4 linked regions of the Arabidopsis thaliana genome follow. The protein of the gene in region 3 interacts with the protein of the main gene of each other region in a pairwise test. Each region holds a gene or a part of one and is shown on either strand. Other genes may lie near its edges.

Region 1 (7,217 bases), about 15 Mb from region 3:
GAAATCTTTGATGACCCGTCTTTAGATCCAATAAGCCCTATAATCTAGATATTAACCTGTAGTATAACGCAGGTAGGCTAATATTTTAGTTAAACTAAAAACTTTTATTGTAAAGATGATTTAAAAATATATGATATTATTTTATTTGATTTTAAATGTATAGTAAACTGTGAGTTGTATATGTTTTGTTGATATTATCTATATTGTTTAGTGTTTAAGATTATACACTTGTAGTTTGATTGTTAATTTAAGAGTTTCACCTGTAGTATACCATCTTGTATTAATATCGATCTAAACCCGTCAATTCTAGGATTTTCCAGCTTGTATTAAAAAATGAATCACATCATACACATAAAAAATCTAATATGTTATTAATTATTATAGTATATAAGATTATAAATTTTCAATATAATATGTATGAAATTAAATATAAATATTTCAAATTATGACCCGTTACTCAGTAGAAAGTTTTCTTAAATCTATTTTTCACCCGTTATAATATTTTTTCATGTATTGAACAATTTATATTCGTTTTTAAAAATTCTAATTATGGCATATGCGAAAAAATTCTAATTATTTTTTTATAATGATGATATTATTTTTTCGCAAAAATAGAATCATATAAAGATGAGAAGTGAATTATAATAATTAATAAAAAATTAATAAAAAATTAATACAATAATTTAGATATCAAATCTAATTTGTTGATTTTAATTGGTTACTTTTTTGGAAATTAATAATGTATTTCATTTTTCTAATTAAATCAAATTAATTAAAATTTAGATATCAAATCTTATATGTTGATTTTGATTGGTTATTATTTTTGAAAATTAATAATATATTTCGTTTTTAAATTAAATTTAATTAATTAAATTAGTATTTGACTTTTTAATCCTTAAAGAGATACATTAATTTACTCTTTAAAATTTTATTTCTAATGGCATACCTATGTAATTACTTACAAAAATTAAGATTATATTTAAAATGTATTTCCCAAATAATATAGTAGGACTAAAAAGCTTTGAATCTTATAATACTTTAACGAAAAAAAATTTGAACTAAACCAAATATCATAACTGTCTGTGAGCTATTATTGTATTCGCACCACCCAATTAGAATTTTGATAGGTACTACAATATTAAGTTTGTGATAACAGCCAATTATTACAATTGTTTGGTGGGTCATTATGTTCCCGTGACTCTGGGCTATTTTGTATATATGTCACTATTTTTGCCTTTCTTGTTGTAAAATTTCGAAAGCTCTTTATTTTCATTGGTGGGAGAGTCCTAATCTTCTTAATTTCTTATCATATAGTCCCAACTTGTATGTTTTGTAATTGTAATAACAAGTTGGACCGACGGGATATTGTGTAATATGATTGGTAATACGCAAACGCAAAGTAACATCACAGAACAATGCTCACACGGAAAATATGAATTCATAAAATTTTATCATTATATGAATGGAAAGTGGGAAAAAAGCATACATTACGAAATTGTTTTTTGCATGACATAAGAAGAACCATTTAAAAACTTGGTAACGTCAATTTATGCTAGTTAAGTACTATACTCTTTCGTCAAATAAAGAAAAATGCTAGTAGTAGTAGAGTAGACTGATATTGTTGTCCCATGAAATAAAAGGGGCTTCAAATATATAGTTTGATTTAAGAACCCATTCTTGTATAAGCCTATTTTATGGGCCGTAATCAATAATAATAATGGGCTTACTTTCTACAATGTACTCTTAACTGAATATCAATTATAGTTTGGGCCGAAATAAAAACGTTGGTCTCATCAAAATCCTAATTGTTTTACTTTAATATCATGTCTTCAGTACTAAAATACTAATGAGGTAATCTAATTTGTATATTTTCTTCCCAAAAATTTTCGATATGAGTTATTCCATTTTAATACAGAATATATTCTTACTTTTAGAGGAAGTAAAATTTTGAAACTACTCAAATCCTATTCTATATATGTACAAACACATTTTTTTTCTGCCGATGACTTAGATAGACACAAAGCTAAGAATTTCATATTGTAAAAAAAGTTAACACGTAAATATGTTCCACATATCCGAAAGGAATTTAAATTAGTAGTGGTTCAGTATTATTAAGTCAGACATTTTTAGGAGACGTTCAATAATATAACATACTTTCCCAAGAGTTGCATGTTTCCATCGTACATAATAAAACCATAACTAAACAATTTAAATTATTCATTAAAAATAAAAAAACGGATAGTATTTGTTTAATTTTCACATTAAAGTATCTTTTAATTAAGTATTTATTATTATCTTTTATCTACTTATGTAATGTTTATAACACTTCTTACAAATCTCTCCAGATTCCTTCATAAATGGAAACAAAAGCATTTAAATATGTAAATCATATGATTTGTTACTGAAAATGCTAAATTACACAATAATAAAAAGATGTAAGAATATACAGCAAACTCATTTCTTCTTGCTGTAAAAATAATCGCACGGAATATTTAAATAAATTAATAAAAGATTCTGTATCTCACTGTAAAAACTAAAAAGGTAAAAAATTGAACAATTAACTTTTTCTTTCCATTCACTGCAGTCTGCAATTAATAGCCTCTCTCTCTCTCCTCCTTCATCATCTCCCCATAGCCGTCGAGACAGATAGAGAGAGCTGAAATTTCTGTGAGAAGATTTTCTTCCGACATTTTCTCTTTCCAAACACTGTTCTACACGTAGTCGGAAATCTCGGAAAAACCAATCTCCGAGTCAGAGAGAGAGAGAGAGGCGTTCACTGTTGTAAAGGATTAAGCTTTGGGTAAGAAGAAGATGAAGAACAAGACCAATTTAGGTCTCTCAGTCTTCTTCTTCTTTATATGTCTCGTTTCCGTGACATCAGATCTAGAAGCTGATCGACGAGCTCTAATCGCACTTCGTGACGGTGTTCATGGGCGTCCATTGCTGTGGAATCTAACAGCACCACCGTGTACTTGGGGAGGAGTCCAATGTGAGTCGGGTCGTGTCACAGCACTCCGATTACCCGGTGTGGGTTTATCGGGTCCATTACCAATCGCCATCGGAAACCTTACAAAGCTCGAAACTTTATCATTCCGATTCAATGCTCTTAACGGTCCTCTCCCGCCGGATTTCGCAAACCTAACTCTTCTCCGTTACTTGTATCTTCAAGGAAACGCATTTTCCGGCGAGATTCCTTCGTTTCTCTTCACTCTACCAAACATTATTCGGATCAATCTCGCCCAGAATAATTTCTTGGGTCGGATCCCGGATAATGTCAATTCTGCAACCCGGTTAGCTACTCTTTACTTGCAGGATAATCAACTCACCGGTCCAATCCCGGAGATTAAGATTAAGCTTCAACAGTTTAATGTCTCATCCAATCAGTTAAACGGGTCGATTCCGGATCCGTTGTCGGGTATGCCCAAAACCGCCTTTTTAGGCAATTTGCTCTGTGGGAAGCCGTTAGATGCTTGCCCTGTCAATGGCACTGGAAACGGTACTGTGACGCCTGGAGGAAAAGGGAAAAGCGACAAGTTATCTGCCGGAGCTATTGTCGGAATAGTGATCGGCTGTTTCGTCTTGCTTCTCGTGCTTTTCTTGATCGTGTTCTGTCTCTGTAGAAAGAAGAAGAAAGAGCAAGTCGTCCAATCGAGAAGCATCGAAGCAGCTCCTGTTCCGACCTCATCAGCAGCCGTGGCTAAGGAATCGAATGGTCCTCCTGCGGTGGTGGCTAATGGTGCATCTGAAAATGGTGTATCAAAGAACCCTGCTGCAGTGAGTAAAGATCTGACATTTTTCGTGAAATCTTTCGGCGAGTTTGATCTTGATGGATTGCTGAAAGCTTCTGCGGAAGTACTTGGTAAAGGAACGTTCGGATCTTCGTACAAGGCCAGTTTCGATCACGGATTAGTGGTGGCTGTGAAACGATTGAGAGATGTCGTGGTTCCTGAGAAAGAGTTCAGAGAGAAATTGCAGGTTCTTGGATCCATAAGCCATGCCAATCTTGTGACATTGATTGCATATTACTTCAGCCGCGACGAAAAGCTCGTTGTTTTCGAATACATGTCTAGAGGAAGCTTGTCTGCGCTGTTACACGGTAACAAAATAAATAACTCTGTTTATTGTTTGATTCTTTAGTAGTGATTACAGATTTTTTAAAACCAATTTTTTGGAATGAATTCGTAGGGAACAAAGGAAGTGGCAGAAGTCCATTGAATTGGGAAACGAGAGCCAATATAGCATTAGGAGCCGCAAGAGCAATTAGCTACCTCCATTCGCGTGACGCGACAACATCTCATGGCAACATTAAATCATCTAACATTCTATTGTCAGAATCCTTTGAAGCTAAGGTCTCTGACTACTGTCTTGCACCTATGATCAGCCCTACTTCTACACCTAACCGCATTGATGGTTACCGAGCTCCTGAAGTAACCGATGCTCGTAAAATCTCCCAAAAGGCTGATGTTTACAGCTTCGGTGTTCTCATTCTTGAATTACTCACAGGTACAACAACACACACAAAAACAGAGAGATCTTGAAAACCGTATTTTTGGTCAAAATGTTGATTCATATATTGGTTTTTGTATTGATTTGCAGGGAAATCTCCAACGCATCAGCAGTTACACGAAGAAGGAGTAGATTTACCGAGATGGGTTTCATCGATCACTGAACAACAATCACCATCAGATGTGTTTGATCCAGAGCTCACAAGGTATCAATCGGACAGCAATGAGAACATGATCAGGCTTTTAAACATCGGTATAAGTTGTACGACTCAGTATCCAGATAGTCGTCCTACAATGCCTGAAGTCACAAGACTCATCGAGGAGGTTTCTCGTTCACCTGCTTCACCAGGTCCTTTGTCCGATTGATTGTATTTTTCTTTTTCAATATATGGGGTCTAAATTGATCATTTCAAAATTGTTTGGTCTAAATTTGAATTTCTTTATATAGTTTGGTCTTTAAGTCAGTTGAGAGATCTACGTTGAAGTTTTTTTTTTTTTTTTTGTGTTTCTTAATTTTTTTAGTGAAATTTTTTATATACAAATTGATTGAGTGTGAAACAAATTATATCTCTCCTTTTCTATTGGTCGGCCCATCAATTTGAATATAGTAACTTTAACTTTATTTCATGAAACTTATCCACTATTGACTCTTTCTTTCTAACGAACTAGCAAATAAAACGGCAGAAACAAAAAAGAAGGAGCCTGATTATTATATGTTGGTAAATTATAAAAAGTTGTCAAACAAATTTTGTTGATATATTGTGTCTGATTCTTCTCTCCGACCAATCATAAAATGCATGTCAACGACACATATTTTCTGTCTTTCCTCAATTTCAAGTTTTATTTGTATTAGTGACTAAGACTAAGTATCTAAATACTTATTACAAACTCCATGGAGTAAATATAATTTTAGGTAACGGGTCTATTTAAAGTTTCTAAGTTGAATCTGTCAAGTTAGTCCCCACCTTTCAAATTCAAATTCAGATAATTTGGTGAAGCCATCAAAACAAAAGTTTCTTCATTTTTCCTTTAATCGTTAAAGTAAATTTCAAGCGACTCTCTTTAAGAATAAAAAAAGAAAGAAAGATATACTATCTTTATAAATTGTATTGATCAAGACATATGCAGAGGGTTTCGGAAAATCATTTACGGACTTAATGTGTGAAAGAATTAGTTGAGTGCATCATTCATGTATAACTTAGAACATATCTATTTTGGTTCGGTTGAGATGTAAATAAAAAATGTTAGTTAAGAATTAGTTGATGATTTTGGGTTAGTTTGTAAGTTTAAGCGATATCAATGGGAATTGTAATGGTGTCCCACATCTACACTTAAAATGTTTGGTGTTTCTTGTTAAAATTTGTAATCATTAATTGAGAGTTACACAAATTTATCATAATCAACTAACGTAACTACATTTGTTAAATGATTACTCTTAACAGTCTGACTTGTGTTAGTTGTTACTTGTTAGCTACAATTATGTGTGCTGCGACTCTTACAAGGGAAGAAATAATAACGTCGCATATCATATGCTGATTTGCATGAGATGGATCTATAGTATAACTACATTAAATGAATATAAACTAAACATTTTGTTTATGTCATTAAAACAGATTTAGGTATATGTCAAGAAAAGTTAATTACTAACAGTCGTTTCATTAGCCATATCATTCGAATATGTAGTAGGTTTTCTTTTTCTTTTCAATTTGAAAATTATTTAGTTAGAGTAATAAATTTAAAAACGTGCTTAAACTAGTAAGCCTTGTGATGGTGAATAATCCGTTGAATATTGAACTTTTGCCATCAAAAATATAATGAAGAATTAAGTCATGGTATATTGTTGACAAGTCTTCTGAAACTTTGTAGATTAGCTAAGTGATAGTGATGACCTTGTACGAGAATGACTGAATGAGATTCATATGCCTATAATTAGACCTAGAGAGATAACCGACAAAATCAGTCAAAGCATCATATTTTCATATTGAATTAATTAACATCCAAAACATTTTATAACTTTAGGCTTCACATAACTCTATGTTTCTCGTTGTTGTAGCATTTATTTTGGAATTTAATGAAGCACCATATTATAATTGTAGCTATTTGTATTTTTGTCAGCAGAAAACTTAGTATTTGAAATTACAATTGCTACTAAATGCTAAAAAAGAAAGAAAAACAACTCTGTATTTTTTGTGTGTAAATTTCGAATTTTTTGTTTCTAAAGCTGTGAGTTCTTTTTTAAATGCATAAAATATCATATATTTATTAAAAATGACGTTATTTAATATTAAATATGAATGTGTTACGTTTTGATCAGTTGTTAATCAGGTGGCATAAATCATTTTACACCGAGTCATGGACACAGCATTTTTTCTCTTGTTCTATCTAGCTCATATCCATGTGGGTTCACATGCACTTGTATATGTTAAGAGTATTTATTTTATTTTATTGTTATCAAATGTGCCCAAGACAATGCCACATAGCTTATCTACCCTGTCAAATCCATATAAAACTATTGAAGCCTTTACAACTTGTGATTCATTTTCCTAAAGTCTTAAATTTTAACCTTTGCCAGCTCATAATTTATTCCTTATATTGTTTAGTGCAAAGTTTGTTTGAAGATGGTTGCCGAATATCATAATAATCTTTTAATTTTATCGTATGTGACAATCATAACTATAATTTATTAAAAAATAAAAGCTTATATAAATAACA
Region 2 (6,975 bases), on a different chromosome or scaffold from region 3:
GTTAATTCTTTAATAATCGGAAAGCTATGAAGAATTGTTTACTAAGCTGAAACTCTGACATACAATTGAGTTATAGATACAATTGGCACATCACAAACTGGAAACTGCTTCTCTCAAGCATAAGAGATAAGACCAATATATAAGCCAAAATTTTGAATTACTAATTGAAAAATATGACTTTTCTCTGCTAAATTGCTACGACATTAGGCTGCTTCTGTGACTTCGACGAGCCTTCCACGAACCCACTTCTTCGTTACGTTTCCTGATTCCAAAGATGCAGCCTTTTCGTCAATCCCGTGGTAACCATTTGGAAGAGGATGATTCTCAGCAAGACTGATAGCTCCATTAGACTCTGCTGGTGGATGGACTCTCGTTCCGTTTGGTTGCCCAACTATCCCGAGTTTGATATCTTCTCTACCTCCTTGGGATGTGTTGGATTCCATATCAGAAACAAACTGGTTTGTAGTACCTTCTATAACGAAAGTCGGTAAATCGTTAGATCTCATGTTCATGTGAAGACTCTCTCCGTTGATCTGCAATGTGTGTGTTCCATTAATCTCTCCTGGTCGTTCTTGATCGTTTGTATCTTTGGTTTCAGATTCACTGTCATTAGGCTGAGGTGAAAGAAGAAATGGGTAAGTCCCATCTTCATCTGAAGCTATCTGCCTCATCTCTAAAGATTTAATCAGTTGTGTTGCTTCTGCTATGAGCTTTTTACTCTCTAACAACGATGCTTGAGCAACCGGGCTTTTCAAAGCAGCAATCTCGAGGACTTTCGCAGCTTTCTCAGCTTCCGAGATCAAAAGCCTGAGGCGAGAAAAGGTTAATTCTTGTTAACTTCTGCTCACAGTTGCAAACAGAGAAATATTAACAATTCTGTTTTAAGTGTACTGACCTTGCTCGTTCCACAGCATCCATCTTCTTTGATTCTTCCGCCACTCGTTTTGCTCTGATGCTTTTGATCATTTCCAGTTTTGAACTTGCCAAAGGATCTTTATACGCAGGTGTTTTGCGCTTCCTTACTTTCACCACTTGAACTTGGCTTTGACGTTCAAACTCTGAATCCCTTGTACTTTTCTTTGTAGGAGTCTTCTTTCTAGGTTCTGCATCGCTCCTTGGTCTTCTACGACGCCTCTCGACACCAACAGGTATACCGTGATATTTTGCCAAGCCGGAGCAAACTCTTTCACGGTAAGACTGATAAGAGAAAGCAAACTGAGTTAAATATGACCAAGAACAAAACATCAAACAAGTTTGATTTGATCAAGTGACTAGACAACTTACTGGATCAGCCCATTTAGCAGCTATTGCTTCTGCAATTCTCCTTCTTTGTTCAGGAGATTTTGGCGCTCTTCTGTTACTTTTAGCTCCTTTAATGGCTTTCCTCTGCTCAACACTTTCCAGCCATTCCAGTTGATTCTGTTGATCCAAGATGTTGTAAGAATCCCACTGAAGCTCTTCTTCGTCTGTATATCCTTGTTTAGCAGCCTCCGCTAACAAGTTTTGCCACTCGAAATGACATGTCTCCTGCACTTTTCTCCTCTCCTTCCTCCTTGCCCATCGCATCCGCACTCCCTCTCCAATCTTCATCCGTGTCTCCTTGCTGTAAAAATCATGCAAATTTGGGAAGATAGTATTATGATAACAAAAACCAAAAGCTCCAACAGGTTTAAAAGCAAACGAAAAACCGGTACTGACTTTTGTGCGTGCCCAAGATTCGCTAATTTCATCTTGATCTGCACAAGGACAAAGACACAAAGGTTCTATGAGGGGTTGAAAATTCTGATGCATAGAGCAAACATATAGAACCATTCTTACATGACATCACCTTTGGGTCTTGCATTGCAATCTTTGTCCTTTCTCTAATCTTCTGTAGGGTCTCTGCATAAACGCAAAAGAAAAAAGATTATGAAATGTTTCCAATTAGAAGCAACTGAAGATAGATTGCTGAAGATACGAATAAGCAAAAACTACTCACCTGGACTATGCTTCCTGCCTTTGTTCCAAGGAGTGTTCCCTCTATTTGCCTTAGAAATCCTCATCCTTCTCAACTTTTCTCTGTCATCCACTTGTTCTTCGCCATCATCAGCACTTCCATTTGAGGATTTCGAAGAAGCAGAAGACAAAGAAGAGCTCCGTTCGTTTTCTTTTTGAGCCGGATACTTGGTTTCAAGAGTGGCCACTGCAGTAATAAGAACTTTTCCTCTTCGGACATGACTATGACCCGTGTAAAATTTCAAATTCTTGGAGAAACAAGACTGTCTCCATGGATTAGGTAGACTTTTAGCATGGATAATACTCTGAGCCCCCAATGGAACAAGATGAGCTTGAAATGAAGGTTGGATAGTAGCAATATCTGCAAAGATTAAACCAAAGAGTCATCTCCATTAGCTAGTAAACATTCTCTAGATACTGTGCGAATCACTAGTCTTTTCTTATACGCATTTAGACCAAGATTGCAAATGCAAATAATTGATACTCAAGAATGATGAAATCCAATAGAAAAGAAACAAAATTGAGAAGAAAGAGAGTCTCAATACTGAAGTAGAATTCTAAACAGTAACCAAACACAAACCCAGAAAATTAAGAGGTAAATATCTGGAAACTTTACCAGAAAAGGTACCTAAAGAAGGCATTGGGAGCTCATTCAGACCAGGAAAACGAAAAAGGAAGAAACTTTGAAACACTCTTCTCTGCAACACCAACCAGGATGTCTTGTAAGATTATACGGAACAATACATTAAGGAAATATGTTCCTCTTACTGTCTGAGAGAGGCGAGAGTTTTTGCAGGAATTTGACAGACAAGGATAAGCCACACAAAAAGCAAATTTCAACGAAGATACTTGTGTCTGGCTTTGACGCAGCAACCAGGGAGGCGATGGATAACGAGACCCGGCTCGCTCTAATGACCCGACCCGGATCACTGCATATTGGGCTAATGGGCCGCGTTTCATAGCCCAATTCACACGTGGTATTATTTTCTCTGGCCTCTCCAACAAGGCACCTAACGTGGCCCTTACTTACTAGACCTTAATAACTCGGACAAAGTTGGTACTCTTGTTGGTGTAATTCGATTTCTTCTTCTCACATCTCAAATCTCCGATCAAAATCCGAAAAAAAAAAAAAAAATGGTGAGAGATATTGTAGACGATCCGCTTGACGAAGATGATATCGCTCTCGTCAAGACTTATGTAAGTGTACCCTTTTAGAACCCTAAATTTTGCTGTATTTTGTTTCTTTGCGAACCAGTTTGATGTTTTCTCATGAGTAATTTCGAGCTAATTGCTATTTTATGATCCTATTTAGATCATTTTTGTGCTTATATGACTAACTAGCTTTGGGTGACTCTGCCTCACTGTTTGAATAAGTCATCCAAGTGAAAAAAAAACGTTCATAGTTATACTTGGTTTGATATGTTGCGTCTCCATATGTTTTTTTGCTGACCTTGTTAAAATCTCAATCCTTCGCAGGGGTTAGTGCCTTACTCTGCACCTATCAAGAAAGTGGAGAAAGAAATTAAGGAACTCACCGAGAAGATCAACGATCTATGTGGTTTGTGCACACTGAGATAGTGGTGTTACTTTCATTAGTGACTTCTATTTACCGAATGATTAAATTGCATATACGGGTAACTTGCAGGTATCAAGGAGTCTGATACTGGTTTAGCTCCTCTCAGTAAGCAAATGATGCAAGAGGGGCAACCTCTCCAGGTGGGTTATGTTTCCTGTTTTAGATATATCCCGATCGATCTCCTCATGGATATCTTTTCGAGAGTTCCTGCAAAGTCTATAGCTAGGTTTCGTTGCGTATCCAAACTCTGGGAATCCATACTTTGTCGTCCTGATTTCAAGGAGTTGTTCATGACTATGTCTTCGATTCGTCCACCGTTGCTTCTTTTCACCTTCCAAGATGATGATGGCAATTTGTTCTTCTTCTCTTCACCTCACCCTCAGATTCCATGTAACGAGAATACGTCTCTTGTACCCACCCGTTATCATGTTCAACATACCACAGATTCTTTTTCTGAAATTGGTTCTCCTCTTTGTGGATTCATCTGTCGCCGAGGTAAGAGAAATCTAGATACTATGGTAATTTGTAACCCAGTCACGGGAGAGTCCGTATCCTTACCCAAAGTGGAACTGAAGAGTATTAATACTGAGACAAGACCTTATTTAGGATATGATCCGGTCCGCAAACAGCTAAAGGTATTGTGCATCAAGTCTGATGATATCCCAAATACGTGTGATGAGCATCAAGTTTTGACATTGGAGAATGGAAACCATTTATGGAGAACAATCCAATGCAAACCCCATTATCCTAAATCTGATGGAATATGCATAGATGGTATTTTGTATTATACAGCTGGGTTCGATATGCGGGCAAGGGTTTCTATGGTAGTGTGCTTTGATGTGAGGTCTGAAAAGTTTAGCTTTATCAACATACATGTATTCATGTTGATGAATGACTCTTGTACTCTAATCAACTACAAGGGTAAACTAGGTGCACTTCAGTTTACATGTTTGTCTCCAAAACGTCTTAGGTTCTGGGTTCTAGTAAATGCTGAGAAAAATATATGGACCAAATGTATCTATGCATTGCCTCCTTTGTGGAACAACTTAGTTCAGCATACGGAGTTAGCCATTGTTGGAATGACTGATGGAGGTGAAGTTGTGTTGTCACAGTACTGTCTAATATACGCATTTTACATTTATTACTTCAACCTTGAGAGCAAGAGTCTCACAAGAGTTCAAATACAAGATGTTGAAATGTTCAAACGTACGAGAGTTTACACCTCTCTAGGCTATGTTGAGAATTTTAAACTTATGTAAGTGTTCAACTATTGTTTTAATACTTGGTCTAGTTTATTCTTTCAGTTGATAAGTGTCTATCTTACATTCTTTTGTTCCAAGGACTGACTATGACAGAGGATTCAACACATTTTCTCCTCAAGGGAGGCTATTTTAAGTCGAGTCTGCCACTGAAGCTAGCAAGGTAACTTTCTTATTAGTTACAAAGGATCAACTTAAGTACTTAACATTTACGACTTGTAAATTATTTATGCAGCTTTTCATGGCTAGCAGTTTCACAGACAATTCCACAACTGAATAGATGGGCAGATTTTATCCTTTCACAGAAGCGACCACAACAAACAGTTCTACCTCCACCACGCTAAAGATCTTCGATAGGCTTTGTCTCCACTCTGAAAATATTCCTAGGCAAATCCAAGGATTGTAATTGGAAATTGTTCATCATTTTAACTTGGTTAATTGGATAATTTTATTCCTTTGTTGGTCATACTAGTCTGCTTTTCATTTTCAATTCTCTTGTATTTTAAATTGTTTAGGAATACTTGTCTTCGTTTCGACTTTGGCCACGCCAACAAGAAACATCTTATGTAATAACAGTCATTAAGCTACTTTATGTAAAAACAACCTTATACTTTATGTAAGACAAAACATATGGGCCCAAAAAGGCCCAATAATAATCATTTACATTGGTTCGTAAGTCAGTTTGATTTTTGTTTCCTCACCTCCCCGATCGTCGGAGGATGTAGAAGGTGGCGGCGGCGGCTCTCACCTGCTTCATCGCAGTTTAGAAATGACTAGAGGAGATCGACGTAGCTCCCCGAGTTTCTTCTCCGGCTCGAAGCGGAGTTGGCTAGGGTTTCACGGTGGCTCACGGTCGCCACTTCTATTGATTCCGAGCTGATAGATGATGGTGGCTCGAGGTCAATCGTGCGTATGGGTTTGCGGCTCCGATCATCCCTGTGACGGAAATCGAGCGGCGGATCCCGCAGCTGAGGGGTGATGACGGCTATCGTCGGAGGTATTTCGTGCTCGCTTTCTCTTTTCGGGAGTTTCAGCGACGGCGGTTCATGTGATGGGGTTAGGTCCTGCGGTAAGATACGGTTCCTCCGGCTTGCGGGATTGGTGGCTCCGGTCTCGGGTTGTTGGCGGTGGCTGTGCTCGCAACCGTCGAATAAGGGATAGCCTCGTTGAGAGAATATCGGTTTTATTTCCGGTTTAAATCTCATCAACAAACCATCTCTAAACCGGGTTGTACTTATGAATTGAAAACATCACGTAGTTTTATTATCTCTTCTATCTGAAAACAGCACGCATGTTATAGCATTTTGAATGATTTTTTATAAGGGATTATTTAGAGGCCTAAGGCGCGTAAAGAAGAGCTAAAAGCGTAACAGAAGAATCTCTCTCAGTCGCAACAGTTTCCGGTTACTCCAAGATCGCCGTCGTGCACCTTTCTTCTCTCGCTCTCTGGTTCTGAGGTTAGCTCGTAAATCTCATCGACCATCACTTCTTCTACTACTCGTTCCAATTACCATAGTACGAAGACATTGCTCGAGAATCTCTCAGTCGCAACAGAGTCCGACTACTCCAAGATCGCCGCCGTGAACCTTTCTTCTCTCGCTATCTGTTTCTGAGGTTAGTTCCTATATCTCATTGATCATCTCTTCTTATCCTACTCTGATTCAATTACGATAGTAAGACGACATTGCTCGCGAATCTTGGTCAGGTTGATGTTTCTTGTAACCGCAACTTTGCAAAGGGTTGGCTATATCGTTCCTTTGATGCTTAGATGAGAAATTTGATAGCTTTTCTGGAGAATTCCCAAAGGAAATCAGTGGAAATGAGATAATTTAGGGATTAAACTGAGTAATTGATTGTTGGAGATACACTTGTGTTTGGATATTCGATTTGGATTGTAAAGATCAGTTTATCCAGTAGTCTAACTTTTCAATTGCCTTCCACCGTTCAGTTTTTGGTTTCAGGTTCGAGAAATTAATAAACATGTCAGTTCTAATTGACACGGATTTAGGGATTGTGTTTCTTGATCTCTACACGGATTAATGCCCTAGCACCTGCTATAATTTTCTTAAGCTGTGCAAGTAAGTGTTCCTTTTGCCTATACCTAAGAAACATCTCTATCTTTAAGGGTTTTAACTTACTTGTTTT
Region 3 (8,907 bases):
TTGATCTGCCTCCGGAGGACTTGAGAAGAAATATTGTAGTGTTTCAAAAATGTTATTCTTATTTACTAAATATGCTTTACTGTAAATTCTTTTTCATGAATATTCAGGAGATGCTGGGAAGCTAGTTGACTCTCATATAACTGGAAAGATTGCTCAACTAAAAGAGCAAAATGCTACGCTTGAAAAACGTGAAGAGAGGTTTGTTACTGATAAATGTTTAACATGTCCTTTGTGCAAATATGACCTTGATTTCCCATACTAAAACATATGTGGAGCCTATGAATTATGAAACAGGTACAAAACTGTTTTTGCTGATAGAATTTCCGTGTTTAGAAGGGCTTGTTGTGAGCTTTTTGGTTATAAGGTATGCCACTTGCTCATAATTATGTCGTAGCACTCAAATTTTATTCTTTAGCATTACAATGGTTCCCTGAAGGCAATGATTCTGGATATTTCAGTTTTCTGAATGTTGACTATCACATTGTAAAATGTAATGTTCGTACTTTTGTCCATTTTTTACGGTCTATGAACTGCGCGTTTCTGTTGCAAAGAGGGATTCAGCTATTGCTATCTATAGTTTTCCTTACCTTCCGTTATTCGTGTAGATAGATGATCAAAGAGTCTTATTCATCTACAGAACTTGTAAACTTGTGAATTCCTTTTGAAAACTCTGGCAGATTGTAATGGACGAACATCAGCGTCCCAATGGAATCCCAGTGACTCGGTTTACTCTCCAGTCTATATATGCTCAAAGTGATGATGAAAAACTCGAGTTTGAATACGAGTCAGGAAACACCAGTATTCTAGTAAGTGATTCTTGTAAATTGTATAACTTTGATATGCTGCATTTGAATCAGTTAATCAACTGATACTGATTTAATTCCTTCAGAACAATGAGTATGCCTCTCAGGGCGACATAGCGAAGCAGGTAAAGTACAGACATAGTTTTCTTCCTTCATAAGCGCAGTGTTCTCAGTGAAGTGTAAAAACTCATTCTGTGTGTTTCTTGCAGATAGAAATATTCATCAGGAAATTCAACTCGATTCCAGCTTTTACAGCCAACTTAACGATGGAATCATTCAACCGTCGGACGCTATATTGAGAGCACTGCGTCCTTATTTCCAACTCTGTGTTTTGTATATTTCTAAAGCCTGCTGAATAGAAACTGAAACTCGAAAGCCGCAGCTTAAAACACTGGCCTTATCTATGTCTACCTCTGGTTCGTTATGTCTGCTATAATTGTGGTGTCAGTAACTCTATTTTGGTATGAAAGAAACTAGTTTCGATTTACTCAGAAAGAATATCTAATGTCATTCTCTGATTATGCGTTTATTACTTTATAGTCACCAAAAACAGTAACACTTGAATATCAAGCAAACAGATTTTTATATAACCATGAATTTAAAACACAAATAATACACAGACTACCTACATGTAAAGAAGATTAGAGCAAAATTGATATCGACTTATAATATAATTACATGTTTAGTTTTTATTTATTGTTTTGAATAAATGTTGTGAAAACCAAAACCCAAAAAAAAAAAACTTGTATCACCTCATTACACAATCATCCTTCCCCTGCTTTTCCATAATCAATCTCAACGAATAATTGAAATAAATGCCTAAGTGACATTGGTCATCTGGGCTTTTAATTTTTTGATATTCACATATTATTACATTGTAGATCTTTAGAGAACTCTCACGTACTTGTTTCTCCATTCTTTATTACCTGCAAGAACAAGTGCCAATTGGATTTAGAAAACAATTAGAGCAACCAAATGCAGGCAACAACGAAGACTAAACGGCTAACCTTATTCACTTGAGGGGATCAATGTGAGGGTAGAGTCCCAGGACATGTTCCGGCATGAAATCATGCCTTGTCAGTATTCCAACAATAGGCGGTCTCTGCAATACGAAAACATACGCGTTAGAAACATAAACAAGTCTAGCGAGAGGAAGAGAGAGCGAGAAAGAGACTGACCCCTGGTGTTTTAGGCACCACACACAAGTGGCGAAGACCAAGTTGCCGGAAAAGAATAGCCGCCTTAGCTAGAGACAGAGTCTCAAGCACAGTGTAAGGAGATGTGTTAGTGATGGGATGGAGATCAACATACATCTCCATCTCCTCCTCACTTAGATCCAAATCTTCAATCTTGAGCCCCTTACCTAACCCTGCTTTACCAAAGTCACGGGCTTTGCAACTTCTCAGAATTTGTGAACCAAAAGTTGTTCTCTGCTTCGAGAATTTCTTCCCTTGGAGAAGCACAAGGAGATGAGATCTCAAGGCAATCCCACATAGCTCAGAAGCTTCTGTGAAAGGTGGCTCATCAATTACAGGGAAACCATTATGTCTTGTCATTTTTAAAGCCTGCCATATTACCCCAACCTTTTCAACTCTCGAAAAGGATATCAAAGCTCCAGAAACTACGTCCTTTGCAACCAAATTGCGCATGTACGGCTCTGCATGGTCTTCCATGTAAGGCAGTCCTTTCATTGTTACAATCTGGTCATAGACCCCCCTGTTGAAACAATCTGCAACCGTTTTTGATATAAGGAGTACAAGCATCACCAGTGGCAGCATTAGGAGATTATTTGTAAGTTCGAGCAGTATAACACATAGAGAGACCGTCATTCTCATTGTGCCTCCAAGGAAGGAAGCAGCTCCGAGCAGAGAAAACAGACCTACATCAAGCTGAGATACTGGACCCAGCAGTCTACCCACTAGTCGTCCATAAGAGGCTCCAGCAAGAATGACAGGAATGAAAAGCCCAGAGGGTATGGCTATGCCGTATGTTATGATGCCAAGGCAGTACACTGCGACAAAGAAGATGGCAAGGGTAGAGATATGGAATTCATTTTCAGATCTGGATGTGAAAAGATTACGGATTGCATCATCATTGGTGTTGAGAAGTAGGGAGGAAAGGTCATTGTAATGGTTTGGAGGACACTGGAAACTCTTATAGATGCTGGATCGACCTACACTAGGGCACTTTCCCTCCTCTATGCCAATAGGACATGGAGTACACTGTGAAAGCCATGGGAGACCAAATGCGCAACACGAGCTCAAAATGGAAACTGCCATTACAAGCATAATTTTAAATCTCGGACCTTTCCTGCAAGTTATGGAAAGAACAAATTAAGAAAATCGAAAAGAGGCAAAGAAATGATATTATGAAAGAGTAACTCGTTGGAAAATGACTTTATGAAAGAGTTAACTTGTTGAGAAATGACGTACTCGTTTATAATGCTATATGTGCGGAGGACTTTGTCCACAAGGTAGTTGTAAAGGCTTCCAAGCACACCACCAATAACTCCAAGGAATACTATTGCTAGCAAATCTGGAGTGCTATATAGCACTGGTCCCGAGTTTACATCAAACATGATGAGACCTCCTTTCCCAAACAGTCCACATCTCCCAGAGCGACAGAACTCAATCAAACTTCGTAAGACCACTGCTACAACTGCGGTAGTGAAGAATGTCCTCCAGAGAAGGGCATTCCTCCACCTAACGATATTAAAAAAGTGAGACATAATCTTTTCCAAATGGATATAGCAATATACGCAAACCGTCTAAACTCTACACTATGTATCACTTAGATTTCCTCGCTCACTAACTTCCATTTGCATAAAGAAGTCATGTTGGATACATTATGTTTTCAACTAGACAAACATGGTGACCTTCTTGCACTTTTGCATTAAGACTTCTAGCTGGGGAGAAGCTTCCCCTTTCAGAGTCTGTCTACTACAATGACTAGACTTGCATAAGGTATCACTCCTTGGATTAGTTATAAGGAGTTAGAGAGAAACAGAAAATACCATGAAGCAGCTTCTTCAAGGGCGAAAAGCACTCCTCCAACTGGAGCACGGAAGGCAGCTGCTACACCAGCAGCAGCCCCGCAAGTGATCAGGTCTCTTCTGTCTCTATCGTTTTTGAAGAATCTGAGCCACTTCCAAGTCAACCGGTACTTTTTGGAACCACCTTGTCCAAGTAAATTAGCAATGCAAGCACCAGTATGAACCATAGGCCCTTCTTTTCCAACTACAAATCCGGCAGCAACTCCAAATATAGAGCCAAAGATCTACCAATACGAAATATTTCGTATCAGAAAAGGCCACAGAGATGAACAAAGACATCAATGCTAAATTCAGGATGAACAAAGACTGCTTGGAAAGTTGTTTGGGGATCTTACCTTAACAAAGAGGGTGCTTGGAGCTAATATTGAATAAGCATCTATACCATTGAGATATGCTTTAACCTCAGGTATGCCAGATCCTGCCGCCGCAGGAGCAATAAAAGCACAGAGTGAAGCAGCAGCAGTTGCCAAAATTAAGTTACAACCAGCAAATGCAAAAAATGCCTGGAAATATCTGCAGTATTTGAGAAACATCCGATGTCATTTATCATTCTGATCCACACATATATCCCTGTGAGCCTTAATTCTCATAACAGTATTAACCATTAAGAAATTTAGATATAATCAGTGAATAAACAGTAACTGAAACAGGATAGAAAGTGCTAAAAAATGGCGTAGAAGCAGAGATAAACAACAAAAGCTAGACTTACTTTTCCTTGAGCATGAGATTACCGATGAGCAAGAGTTTAAATCCAGCTATATTCTCAACACCAAGGTTATTCAAAAAGCCAACAAGTCCAGTAGCTAAACCAATAAGAAAAGCAAGCGCCCATTTGAGAAACGTATACTGAAGTATCTCAATCTTCTTCCTAGACCTCCAGTCTTGCTTGAAAAAATCATTTTCGAAGATCCTGCCAAATAAAAATCCCAAGTCAAGATCCTGATATGTTTACATAAGCTATAATCATTCACACCAAATTAGGCAAGACACCAGTAGGAGACACACACAAAGACAAAAAGTCAAATTCAGTCTGAAACTATGATTGCATCATCATAAAGACCCCAAAAAGATTTGCACTTTTCTCAATCTAATAGATTGTATAGCATACCTATTGCTAGGTGAAGTGGCTATGATGTCTCTCAAAAGCTAAAAGCTTCAATTTTTACCCAAAAGTATTAAAAATGAAAACATTATGATTTAAAAATTATACATGGGATGGGACCCAAAATGTTACATAATCCAAAACTTCATAGACTCATAATCAAATTTGAGATGAAGTTTAAAAACTAATCGAAAACATTTAAGCATATTAAAGTCTAATTGCCAAAGTTAAAAACTTTATCCAGAAAAAAGAACGAAACATCAAGTTATGTGCAGAAGAAAAGAGAAGAGGGAGAAAAAGGACAGACTCGTAATCAAGGCTTTCGATGGGACAAGTATTAGCTCCGACAATAGCGATCTGAGAAGTTGTGTTCTTTCGATTCCTAGCGAGAAGAGGCTGTCGAAATCCGACAGATCCATCGTCTAGAATCCCAGATATCTTCCTCTCGAAACCATGTAAAGCTCCTCCTTCAACCTCTATATCATGATGGTCTCCTTCGTGCCGATCATCCATCTCTCCTCCACGATCTTGTTTTTTTAAGAAAATAAAATTGTTTGTTTTCGATTTCCGATCAGATTACAAAGCCACAGAAATGGAAAGCTATATAATTGGGCACGAGATTCCTGGAATCATGAACCTCTCGCGCTCAAGCAGATGCTAAAAAGTCGATTTTTTTATTGTTTTTTTTTCTTTTTTGTTTTTTTTTGAGGGAGGTCGTAGAGTGGTATGGGTCAGGAATTTTGTTTTTTTATTTGATCCTAATTTAGGCAAAACTAAACTCTCTTTCTTTGTTATGATTTTCATAAGGATATATTCTTCTAAATAAATAAAAAAGTCAATAACAAAAAAAAACTTGCATAAATAAATTATCTAATTATGAAAATTTTCATAGTATTGTTTTTGCCCAACAAATTTGTATACAATCGTGATATTTTATGGGGGAAAAAACTATTTGTTTTTTATATATATTATTTTGAATTGATTTTTCATAAATAATTTCTCTCAAATTTTACAACTGTGTCCGATATACTTATATAAAAATAATATATGTATATTTTTTTCACATGATCTTGTAAAGTTTGTTTTGATTCTAACTCAATTACAGATATTTTTGAAATCTTACTTCTCATGTGTGTTTATTTAGTTTCTAGATATGAAAATTTTGTTGTTAAAATTTTATAATGATTTTTAGTTCCCAAAACTGGATTTCAACAAGAAACCAAATGAGCCCAAACTAGGGTAGACATCGTCCAATTATACGAACCACTGTGTATTTGCCAGACTTGTTGAAACATCACACAATTCAAGAGAAGAACAAAATCTATTGGATTTAACATTAAAACCAAAACAAAAAACAACATCTATTGGTTAGAAAGTCTTTTAAACTTTTATGAGAGGTGGCTACTGGCTAGATCCAATCAAATTAAGATGTCTTTGGTGTAAATCAGTTGATCCTTCTCTTTTTTTTTTTTTTTTAGTTATTAGATCAACAAGGTATGCATTCACTTTTTAACAATTCTTCTTATTCATGCAAGATGGAGAAACACGATAAAGAAATGCAGATATTGTTTTCCTTTAGTTATGGAACCTGACCTTGACATATTTTATTATTGCAAAAATTTATGGGGAAATTGATCGGATCCAATCGTTTATTGTCTCATCAAAATCATGGTTTCCTACCGAATTAATTTCTTGATTGTGTTGTAATACACATGTTGAATTCATTCCAAGGAACACTCTCAAGTTTTAATAGATTGTGGGGTTAGTTTTAAAATCTGCCACAACTGTATAATTATTAATCAACTCGATCTTTGTTTTGATGGTTTTTCAACATTTGATAGGCCAGTCGACATCTTAGTGTCTCCACTTCTTTTATTTTGAGTATAATGGTGAAAGCCACAACTAAGATATATTAACATCCGCAATGAGTTAATGTACTCACGATAGTTGAACTTTGTTTGGAAGCTCCTAACTCTCTGTTTTTTTTTTTTTTGATCAAGCGGAAGCTCCTAAATCCTATCTAGCTAAAAGACCATCATCTCCAATGTATGTTTTTTACTCTAGAATATAGTAATTCTAAAATAGAGTAGGGGTTTTCTCAAATGTATCATTTTATTATATTTTATTCTAAAAAGAATAGAGTAAACATTAGAGTTACTCCACATATATATAGAGTAATCATATCCTTTACTGTGTTTTAGAATGATGTATAGAGTGTGGAATTAAAAATGATTTTACTCTAATAAATATAGAGGGAAAATTTAAGTGGAGTTGAAGACACCCTAAGATATCTACAAAAAAAATGATTGTGTTAAAACTATAGAAATCTTCGTTGACATGTTGCGGAATATGGATGCTAGTGGTACAAGCCATAACCTATATCTTTGTATACAAGAAAACAGTTTTATGGAATGCTTTTGAAATCAAATCATATGAGTTTGGATTTAAGGGCCGTTCGCGGGTGAGAGCAAGCGACGGGCACAACTGCAAGAGCACCGTGGGAATATCCTGAATATTCCAAAGGCCATACCATATACATGGTTGCAGATCTGAAGGATCTAGGATTTAAACTTTTAGGGTAGTTGCATTAATAACGTGGACATCAAGGTTCTAGGATAGAATTTTGAATCAATCTTCGTCGACTTATTGTCAGACTACCATTATTTATCAACTACAACGTGCATTTACTATATAAAAAATAGTTTTCTAGATTATTAATATAGTGTAGTGAAGTCTTAAACGCAACAATATATAGAACAGAAACATCATCAATATAAAATTAAGCATGTTTAATTAAATGATACATCGTCGGAATTATTTTTTATGCATCGGATAAACGTGTACGCATGAGAATGAACGTTTGCGTCAACTTTATCCCAAACATAAAGAACTAAAGAAGGATTCATTATCCTTTGCACAAAAGAAAAGAAACAAGAAAAAAAAATGATTCTTTTATCCATTAGAAAATAAAGAATTGAGCAGATTACACTATAATGCAATCCATATAATTTAGTCCTATACTTGTAATCATCAAATATATGTTAAGAAAATTAGGGATGGTTGAAGCTAGCCGTACTTAGATAATATAGTGGATGATATCATTGCCATAAATAAATTAGCAATGACTAACTAATGATGGTTTATTTCTAGAGTATTGGTCCAATGCCATAAAATGGTTTCAACTTAATAGTAATAATTACAAAATTTGAATTTAACTAGATTTCTCATTTCGATTTCTTAAATGGAGGAACAAATTGTAGATATGTCATATGTAATCTAATTTGTTCGTGCAGAGTTTTTGAGCAAAAAGTTATGCATGTGATTCTTGAATTAGTGAGAATTATTAAGGGCATCTCCATCAGTGAGATATTTTCTTGGTTTCTCAAAAAAGAAAGATATTAGTATTTTAATAAATATTAGTTATATAATTAAATTTTAACAATAAAATAATATTTGACCAATAAATGATATACAAGTGTTTTTATGGGTTTCTCAGAGTTTCTCACTTGAGAGACTAATTCTAGTCTCTCTCATACTTTTTGATTATATTTTATTTTTCTATTGAACAGTTTCTAAATGAGAAACCATTGATGGAGATGGTTAAACCACCAAAAAGTAAATAAGTTTGCACCAAAAAGAAAACTGTCAACCTCTCGGGACGCACCATGTGTGAGGGGAAAGAGAGTTTTCCTAAAAGACTTTGCAATGCTCAAATTAGAAAATAATAAAAAAGGGTTGGTTAAAGGAAAAAGCAAACGCATACAAAATGATTTGGATGTAAACAAGTGTGGATGTAAACAAGTGTGCAAGTGTTTGTGAGAATTTTGAAAGTTTCTTATTCTAGAGATAAATATTCTTCTTGAGAGAGATAATAAACTCAAGTTCAATCGCCTCTTTGAGTAAAGTTCATAGCTAAGTTTTGCAAGTCTTATGATTGCTAATGAGCTTAG
Region 4 (7,149 bases), on a different chromosome or scaffold from region 3:
AAAACGGAGACCGACTTTTATATCATAACGACTAGTTTCTTTGAGTGGTGATAACATGTGTGTGTGTTTTGATCATTAGAGAATATTGGTAAGAGAACAATTAGGAATTCAAACTATCGCTAAGTATGAACTCAAGTAGTAAGAGTTATATATGGTAGGTGTATTTTGGAAATAAATTAGGAATAATTTCGGTATATCTCTGCAATATATAGTTTGAAAATATACGACGGTAGGTTTGAAATAAATTAAAACACAACGTAGCTGATTGAGCTTTTTCTATTTGTTAAACAACTGTGATTGAGTTTGATAGATTAAAAACAAGTTTTCGTGTATATATACACAATTTTAAGTTAGAATCATACAGATAGATACAAAATAAAAGTCTAAAAAACCAAGAAAGAGAGAGCAGAGATTGTGGGAAAAATCTGCGAGCGATATACGATGATTGATGTGAGATTTAATAATTTTATATAAGTCAATGGGCACACATGGCGCACATGCCACTCGTTTTTAATCGTACAAAAATAAAATATCAAAGACTTAAAGAAAAGGAGAACCACTATTTTTATTTTTTCAACAAAGAAAAAAACAATTAGTTAAAAGGAAAACACAAATAGAATGAGAAAATTCCTCTAATCTTCATGTTACATTATTCATATCATCGATCGGCGAAGAGTTAATACGGTGTCAGCATGCAACCAAAACTGGTAGTAAAGAAAGAACCAATCAAATGTCGCCATCTGGTTAATACTAGTGTGATCAACGGTGGAGATCAGATCTCAACGACGTTGTATATAAGGATGTTTTTTGATAGAACTTTTAAAGATATTGACAGTCACATATTATGCTAAAAGGTAAAAAGGAAAAGAAAAAATCTGTGAATGTAACCATACGGTAAGGGGAAAAAAGTGGTCCTAATTCATCATTCTAAATTCCTTCTATTTCGTGGAAAAAATGGATTCTGTATTTCTTCATATATAAACTATATATACATTGATATATCGCAGTGTGAATAATATACTAGCATATAATGCATCGATACGTAGACATAAATCAAAGTACAAATATGCATATAATGCATCGATACGTATAAAAGGGGTAAGGGAGAAGCGGTTCAGAAACTTAAATATGATGTTCCCTCTCACTCTTTTGTTCATTCAATTCTATGTTTCCCTCAAAAAGAGGTAATCGTATTAAATTAAAATAAAATATAAATTGGAAAATTTTCCATTAGCTAGTAGGCGATGGGCAAGAGTCATGAGAGACGTATTGCTTTTCTCATAGATCCAGCTTGGTTTTATTTTATAACAGCTACTACTAGTATTGAGCTACTACTTTGTGTTGTTTGATAGTGCAACTTAGTTTACCTGTTCCCCTTTGAGTGCGAGGAACTCTCGCAGAATTTAGCAATAATGTTTTTTATAAACTCTGTCTTCATTGATTTAGATGAATTTTGCAATACAAAGTTGAGACAATAAAATTAGCGAGAATCTGATTTTAAAATAGAAATTATCAAAAATGTCTTGTTTGTATTTCAAAGTTCAAATTCACATTTTTTTTAAGTATATTGTTATATGAAAATGAAAACCAACAAAATAATAATGAAGTTATTTACTGAAATATCTTTGCAAAAAGCCATGATACTTTTATAAAACGTTTGATGATGACAAAGTTTTTCAGCTAAAAACAGGATAGTAATCCAAGAAAATGTTTTTTTCTTTGTGGTATTTTTCTTTGAAATCATAAACGTACCTATTATAGTTTTTTTGGTAATTGTGGAAGTTCGTTGAGTGGTAACATCCCTTTGGGCCACACCAATTCAGATCCTCCAAATCTTGCTTTTGGTCCGACTGAATATCATTCTAGTTATAATAATAACACGATTGTAATTAATATATATTAAGACCCATTATAATTTCAAAATATTTATGAAAACATGTATTGAAATTTCTGTGTTCTATATAAAACTAAGGACTCTCTGTTTCTTCTTCTTTTATTAAACTGCAGGACTCGGTGTTTCAAATGCAATTTTTTTTGTTCTTTTCCTTTTTATATAAAATACATAAACAAATTAGTAATGTAAACGACTTTTCTTTTAATATAATTGAATGATAAGAAAATAGTCTCCAAAAGTTTTTAATACGTTACACATGCACATTAGTAATAAATTGATGATTACTAAAGGTTTCTTTCACGTTGGATATTTTAACATTTGATCTAATCCCGAAACCGTTGGATTACATAGATTTGGAGTATTTATTACAACACAAATGTTTATTACCAATTTATTTTGAATTTAAAACCAGAAACCTTATACTAACGTTGGTAATCGACATCAATATTTTCAAATATAAAAAAAAATAGTTACAAAAATAAAAAACAGAGATTAAGACCTTTCATGAATACCTTTTTGTCATAGTGAAAACTAAATTAAGATTTATATTTATAAACAAATCCAGTCATGCAAGGGAAAAGGTATGTATAATGTAGAGGAAGAACAAAATTAAGAGCGAAATAGGTCTACATCACATCATTTATATATCTATTAGTGGCTGCCCTACGAATTGTCTTTGTCTCCATAATTTTATTTGTCATATTAAATTGCATCTTTAAAGAGACAAAATTTGATTATGATCCACTTTTTTTTTTTTTTTCTTTTCTCCTATTTTTCCACCCCCGAATAATTCTTGAAGTTTCTGCTTCTTTATTTACTTTTCATTATTATATGTCCATCTTTATTTTGGATTATATGCTCGCTCTTGTAACTTTTGCGTTTTTTTCTACTTGGAAAATTAATATTTATAGTCAATGAAAGTTAAATACTATAGATAACCAATGAGGTGTCCTTCATCCATACGTTGGGTATAAATGAATGAATAATGTATTTTGTCACATTTAGACCCCCACCACTATTGTGAGAATTTTGTAGGTCTCTAATTGATATGTTTTTTTTTTCACAAAACGAATCCAACAACAGGTATATCGCTCATAGTTTAAGGTATTCGAAACCGTTAAAAAAAAGTTAACATGGCAAGTATCAGTATCACCTGACAAAATAATTAGTTGCCTATGATTGGAAAGAAAAAGAAGCGCCGAAATTGTAGTTTGGTTAAGATTGTCTTGACAGTTGTAGCTCCGACCCAAATGATATATAGGGGCAGACTTAAAGCCCAATGGGCTGATATTATGATGGGCTCTAGTAACTGTTAAGAAACCTGAGGAAACTTGTGTGAGGAACATCAGATGGTCCAATGTGTTCCGCGTTGGACTTTTGTTTGTTTGTTATTCTTCACCTCCTGACAGCATAATTCTTTGCTCGGAAGATGATTTAAACAGAAACATATAAAGGAATGAAAAAAGTTGGGATAAATTTCCCTAAGGCAGAAGCAATATAAAAATGCTTGAATTAGATAGCTTCACACTCACGTCATTTTGTGATCTTATTTATAAATCCCTAACCTCGTGGTGTGAAAACCCACGCACAATTAAATATATATTCAAAGAAGAAACGTGCCTTTAATCCAAATATCGTTAGTTATCACTTCTATATCAGCATACATGGCCAAGGTTCGAGGAAAACCTAAATTTGTTTAATTATGTTTTTATCAAAGAATTCATTTATCTTCTTCTTTTCTTCCACTTTTGTAAATTGAACAATTTTTTTTAAAAAAAAGCAGAATTATCTCTGATTATCATAAAATTTAGATAAATGAAGTTTCAAAATGTCTTCTTACTTGTAGGAGAAGCAACCGCTGATGGAGGATCTAGAACAAGGAATACAGCTAAGTACGAGGGAGAATGAAACCGGATCTGGTAAAGTGGGTAGATGGAGCGAAGGATTTCGTGATCCATTGGTTTCTAAACACGGAACAGCTGAGAAAGCAAAGATTGTTTCTGTCACGACTAAACCGTATAAACCGGATTCTTGCTATGAATCTGAGATTTCCGGTATATGGCCTTCTTCGTTTAGCAAAGAGTATTGTTGCATCTATAGAGTACCTAACCGGTTAAGGAGAGTTAATCCAGAGGCATACACTCCTCAGATGCTTCTCATCGGTCCACTTCAACATTCTAAGAAAGCTAATGCCCTTGAGCTTTCCAAAACCGATTTAAGGTACGTGTGCATATATTAACCATACAGAAGAAGAAAAAGGCTGGTTTCTGCTTTTATGTTTGCGTTTGTGTGTTATAGTTACATTTATAACATGCTAGATTATAGTGTTTATGTGGAAAATATATAATATGTTACATTGTTCAGATATTTGGACTATATGAACATGGAGCTTCACAAGAAGAAGTACCTTAATGCTATTGCAAATAAATATGGGGATCAAATTATCGAAGTTTTCAAGGAGATCATAGAAACAAGTGAGAAATTCGTTAGAGAAAGCTACGCCGAGTCAACGGACTGGATCAAACCTCAAGATTTCGTTGATATGATCCTTCTCGACTCGGTGTTCATACTAGGGGTCTTTATTCAGGCTGAAACTACTCAAAACATCAAGAAGAAAGAAGAAATTCTTTTCCATGAAGAAGATATTATTTTCCAGGAGCCTTGTCTCATAACCACTATTTTAGAAGACCTAATCTTACTCGAGAACCAACTCCCTTATGTCCTTTTAGAGAAACTCTCTAAACCTTTTTTCGCAAATCTTAAAACCAAGGAAACTTTCCGTGACATTATCCTTCGAGCTTTTAGGTTGAAAGGAGAGATCAAAGAAGGAACGAATTTCCGTCATTTTACAGATTTGTTCAGACGTGTCCGTGTGGAAACACTTTGTTTGACAAAAGAACAAATCAAAAGCGCAAAGGATAAGCCACCGGAGATCATAAAGAGTCTGCACAACGCAGACAAACTAGACAGTGCTGGAGTGGATTTTGTGCGTCTGGAAAGAAAAAACGATTTATCGTTGGTGATAACTTTCGAACGCGGAATCTTGGAAATACCTTGTTTCTTAGCGGACGACAACACCGAGAGGATTATGAGGAACTTAATGGCCCTCGAGCAATGTCATTACCCTCTCACTGCTTATGTTTGTAACTACATAGCTTTCTTGGATTTTCTTATCGACACCGACCAAGACGTTGACTTGCTCGTCAAGAAAGGTAAAAACTCTATACAAAATATATATCTTGGTTTTAAAGATTAAGTTATTAGTCAGACAAATTTATGAGATTCCTAATTAACATATCTTCACATTTTCCGTTACAAGGAGTTATAAAGAACTGGTTAGGACATCAAGCATCGGTGGCGGAAATGGTAAACAAGCTGTGTTTAGGGCTTGTGGATTTTGGATCTCACTATTACGGTATAGCCGATAGACTCAACAAACACTACGAAAGCCGTCGCAATAGATCCATAGCCACACTCCGGCGAGTTTACTTTAAAGATCTTTGGACCGGAACTGCCACCATTGCCGCCGCCGTTATCCTCGTGTTGACTTTGATTGGGACGGTTGCTTCCGTACTCCAGGTGACGCAGAAGGATAATAATTCTCCACCGCCTCCGGCTATGTTCCGAGGACCGTAGATTGTCTCTTGTTATATACGAAACAAACAATAGTTGTTTTTTTTCTCCAATGTTTAATTTGGTTTTCTCTTTGCTCGACTTTGTTCCACAAATAATGCTTCTTTTTCATATTTTCTTTATTTAGTCCATCATGGCTAACGTCATCTTTTGATTATGTATCTTCAAGTTAAAATTCTCAGAAAAATCTCTCAAAACATTTTCTCCGTTAAAACCTCCAATTTTTTTGTTTTTATATAAAATATTCAAGTTGAAACAATTTTCCTACAAGAACGTTTACATTTTTTTCCATATTCTCATGTAAACCTTCCAACTAATTAGGTTATCTACATAAACTTTCAAGTTGTCAAATTTGACCTCGATCAGTAGTTTATTAATGTTTAACGATAATTATATTTAAAACAGTAAACGGTCATTAACGATATTTTTCGTTTATTTAGTTTTCAAAATTTATAAAAATCCTTTTAAAAAAAAATGCATTCTATATATAGGGTTTGTAAATAATTATTTTTGTGTTTCTTATTATAACTAACACGTATATTTTTTAAAAAACTAAATAAACAGAAAATATGTCGTTAAATGTCGCTTACCATTAATCAATCATTGATCGGGCTCAAATAGTAAACATTGAACTAAATTAAATTATACTCTGTTATATATATATATATATATATATATATATATGTGTTTTTTTTTTTTAATATAAGCTATAATAAAGAACTAGTTGGGACGCTCAAAATTTGTATCGTACAAGGTTAACAAGCTGTGTTTAGGGATTGTTGATTATGGCTCTCACTATTACGATCGACATAGCCCAGAGGCTCAACAAATACTACGAGGATCGTTTCAACTTTATCAGAATACAAAAAAAGGACATCCTTCGCCACTCTCAGTCTACTTCAAAGACCTTTGGGCTTTGGACAGGAACTGCCACCGTTGGCGCAGTCGTTATCCTCGTGTTGACTTTGCTTGGGACGTTGGCTTCCGTTCTATAAGTGACACACAAAGACAAAAATCACACTAATGAAATCTCTCCCGAAAATTGTAGATTGCTAGTTTGCTACTCCTACTTGCTATATACACGAAATCAAACGAGACTATGTATATTATTATTACAATATATTTTCATCCATTCTGCAGAGGCATACTTAAAAAAAATCGGTTACTTTATTTTCTATATAATAAATTTTCGTTTCTAATATCAAATCAATGATTCAATCTTAGTGACTAAATATAGTAGTCAATATTCAGAGCCATCCTCCAACTCATTTTCCTTATCTAAAATAAAATGCAATATATGGATTTAAAATTAACATAATCACAAAAAGATATCTAAAAATCATACCAAAAAAAAGAAAAACATAAAATGAAATAAAAAAAACAATAACTAGATATAGTCAACCACTTAAAATAAAACATATTACTTTAACATAGTTTTTGTCAACAACATTGAAATGAAATAAAATAGGTGATTACATACCATATGGGAGACTAGTTCACTCCCTTTATTCATAAAATTAAAAACAACAACGAAACTTATTCAAGAAACCACGAAAAGGTTTCACTTAAACTTAAGCATTGGCGTTTCTTGGTCTCTGACTAACAAACCTCCTGCAGTACAT

The links.
Region 1: the proteins of CLC-C (region 3) and AT5G16590 interact in a protein complementation assay, tested with the Arabidopsis thaliana proteins (one large-scale study listed by BioGRID).
Region 2: the proteins of CLC-C (region 3) and AT1G53790 interact in a protein complementation assay, tested with the Arabidopsis thaliana proteins (one large-scale study listed by BioGRID).
Region 4: the proteins of CLC-C (region 3) and AT2G44930 interact in a protein complementation assay, tested with the Arabidopsis thaliana proteins (one large-scale study listed by BioGRID).

Annotation. Positions count from the first base shown.
Region 1 is NC_003076.8:5,429,051-5,436,267, forward strand, and holds AT5G16590 (Leucine-rich repeat protein kinase family protein), read left to right. Parts: upstream 1-2,533; 5' UTR 2,534-2,811; coding exon 2,812-4,096; intron 4,097-4,185; coding exon 4,186-4,503; intron 4,504-4,596; coding exon 4,597-4,871; 3' UTR 4,872-5,136; downstream 5,137-7,217. UniProt on the Arabidopsis thaliana protein: Might be involved in early recognition of growth promoting fungi. Appears to be specific for P.indica.
Region 2 is NC_003070.9:20,077,549-20,084,523, reverse strand, and holds AT1G53790 (F-box and associated interaction domains-containing protein), read left to right. Parts: upstream 1-3,059; 5' UTR 3,060-3,129; coding exon 3,130-3,192; intron 3,193-3,471; coding exon 3,472-3,553; intron 3,554-3,640; coding exon 3,641-4,826; coding exon of another isoform or gene 4,827-4,830; exon of another isoform or gene 4,831-4,911; coding exon 4,912-4,966; 3' UTR 4,967-4,993; intron 4,994-5,065; 3' UTR 5,066-5,443; downstream 5,444-6,975. Other genes in the region: AT1G53800 (muscle M-line assembly protein), read right to left, coding at 204-807, 896-1,197, 1,285-1,603, 1,699-1,736, 1,829-1,881, 1,979-2,356, 2,612-2,636; AT1G53780 (26S proteasome regulatory complex ATPase), read left to right, coding at 6,811-6,816.
Region 3 is NC_003076.8:20,286,674-20,295,580, forward strand, and holds CLC-C (chloride channel C), read right to left. Parts: upstream 5,760-8,907; 5' UTR 5,471-5,759; coding exon 5,265-5,470; intron 4,766-5,264; coding exon 4,565-4,765; intron 4,369-4,564; coding exon 4,191-4,368; intron 4,080-4,190; coding exon 3,817-4,079; intron 3,506-3,816; coding exon 3,236-3,505; intron 3,114-3,235; coding exon 1,982-3,113; intron 1,906-1,981; coding exon 1,816-1,905; 3' UTR 1,811-1,815; intron 1,730-1,810; 3' UTR 1,382-1,729; downstream 1-1,381. Other genes in the region: MAD1 (mitotic checkpoint family protein), read left to right, coding at 108-198, 295-364, 678-806, 890-928, 1,013-1,102. UniProt on the Arabidopsis thaliana protein: Voltage-gated chloride channel.
Region 4 is NC_003071.7:18,528,081-18,535,229, reverse strand, and holds AT2G44930 (transmembrane protein, putative (DUF247)), read left to right. Parts: upstream 1-3,477; 5' UTR 3,478-3,558; coding exon 3,559-3,567; intron 3,568-3,740; coding exon 3,741-4,114; intron 4,115-4,258; coding exon 4,259-5,106; intron 5,107-5,213; coding exon 5,214-5,530; 3' UTR 5,531-5,742; downstream 5,743-7,149. Other genes in the region: AT2G44925 (uncharacterized protein), read right to left, coding at 7,099-7,149.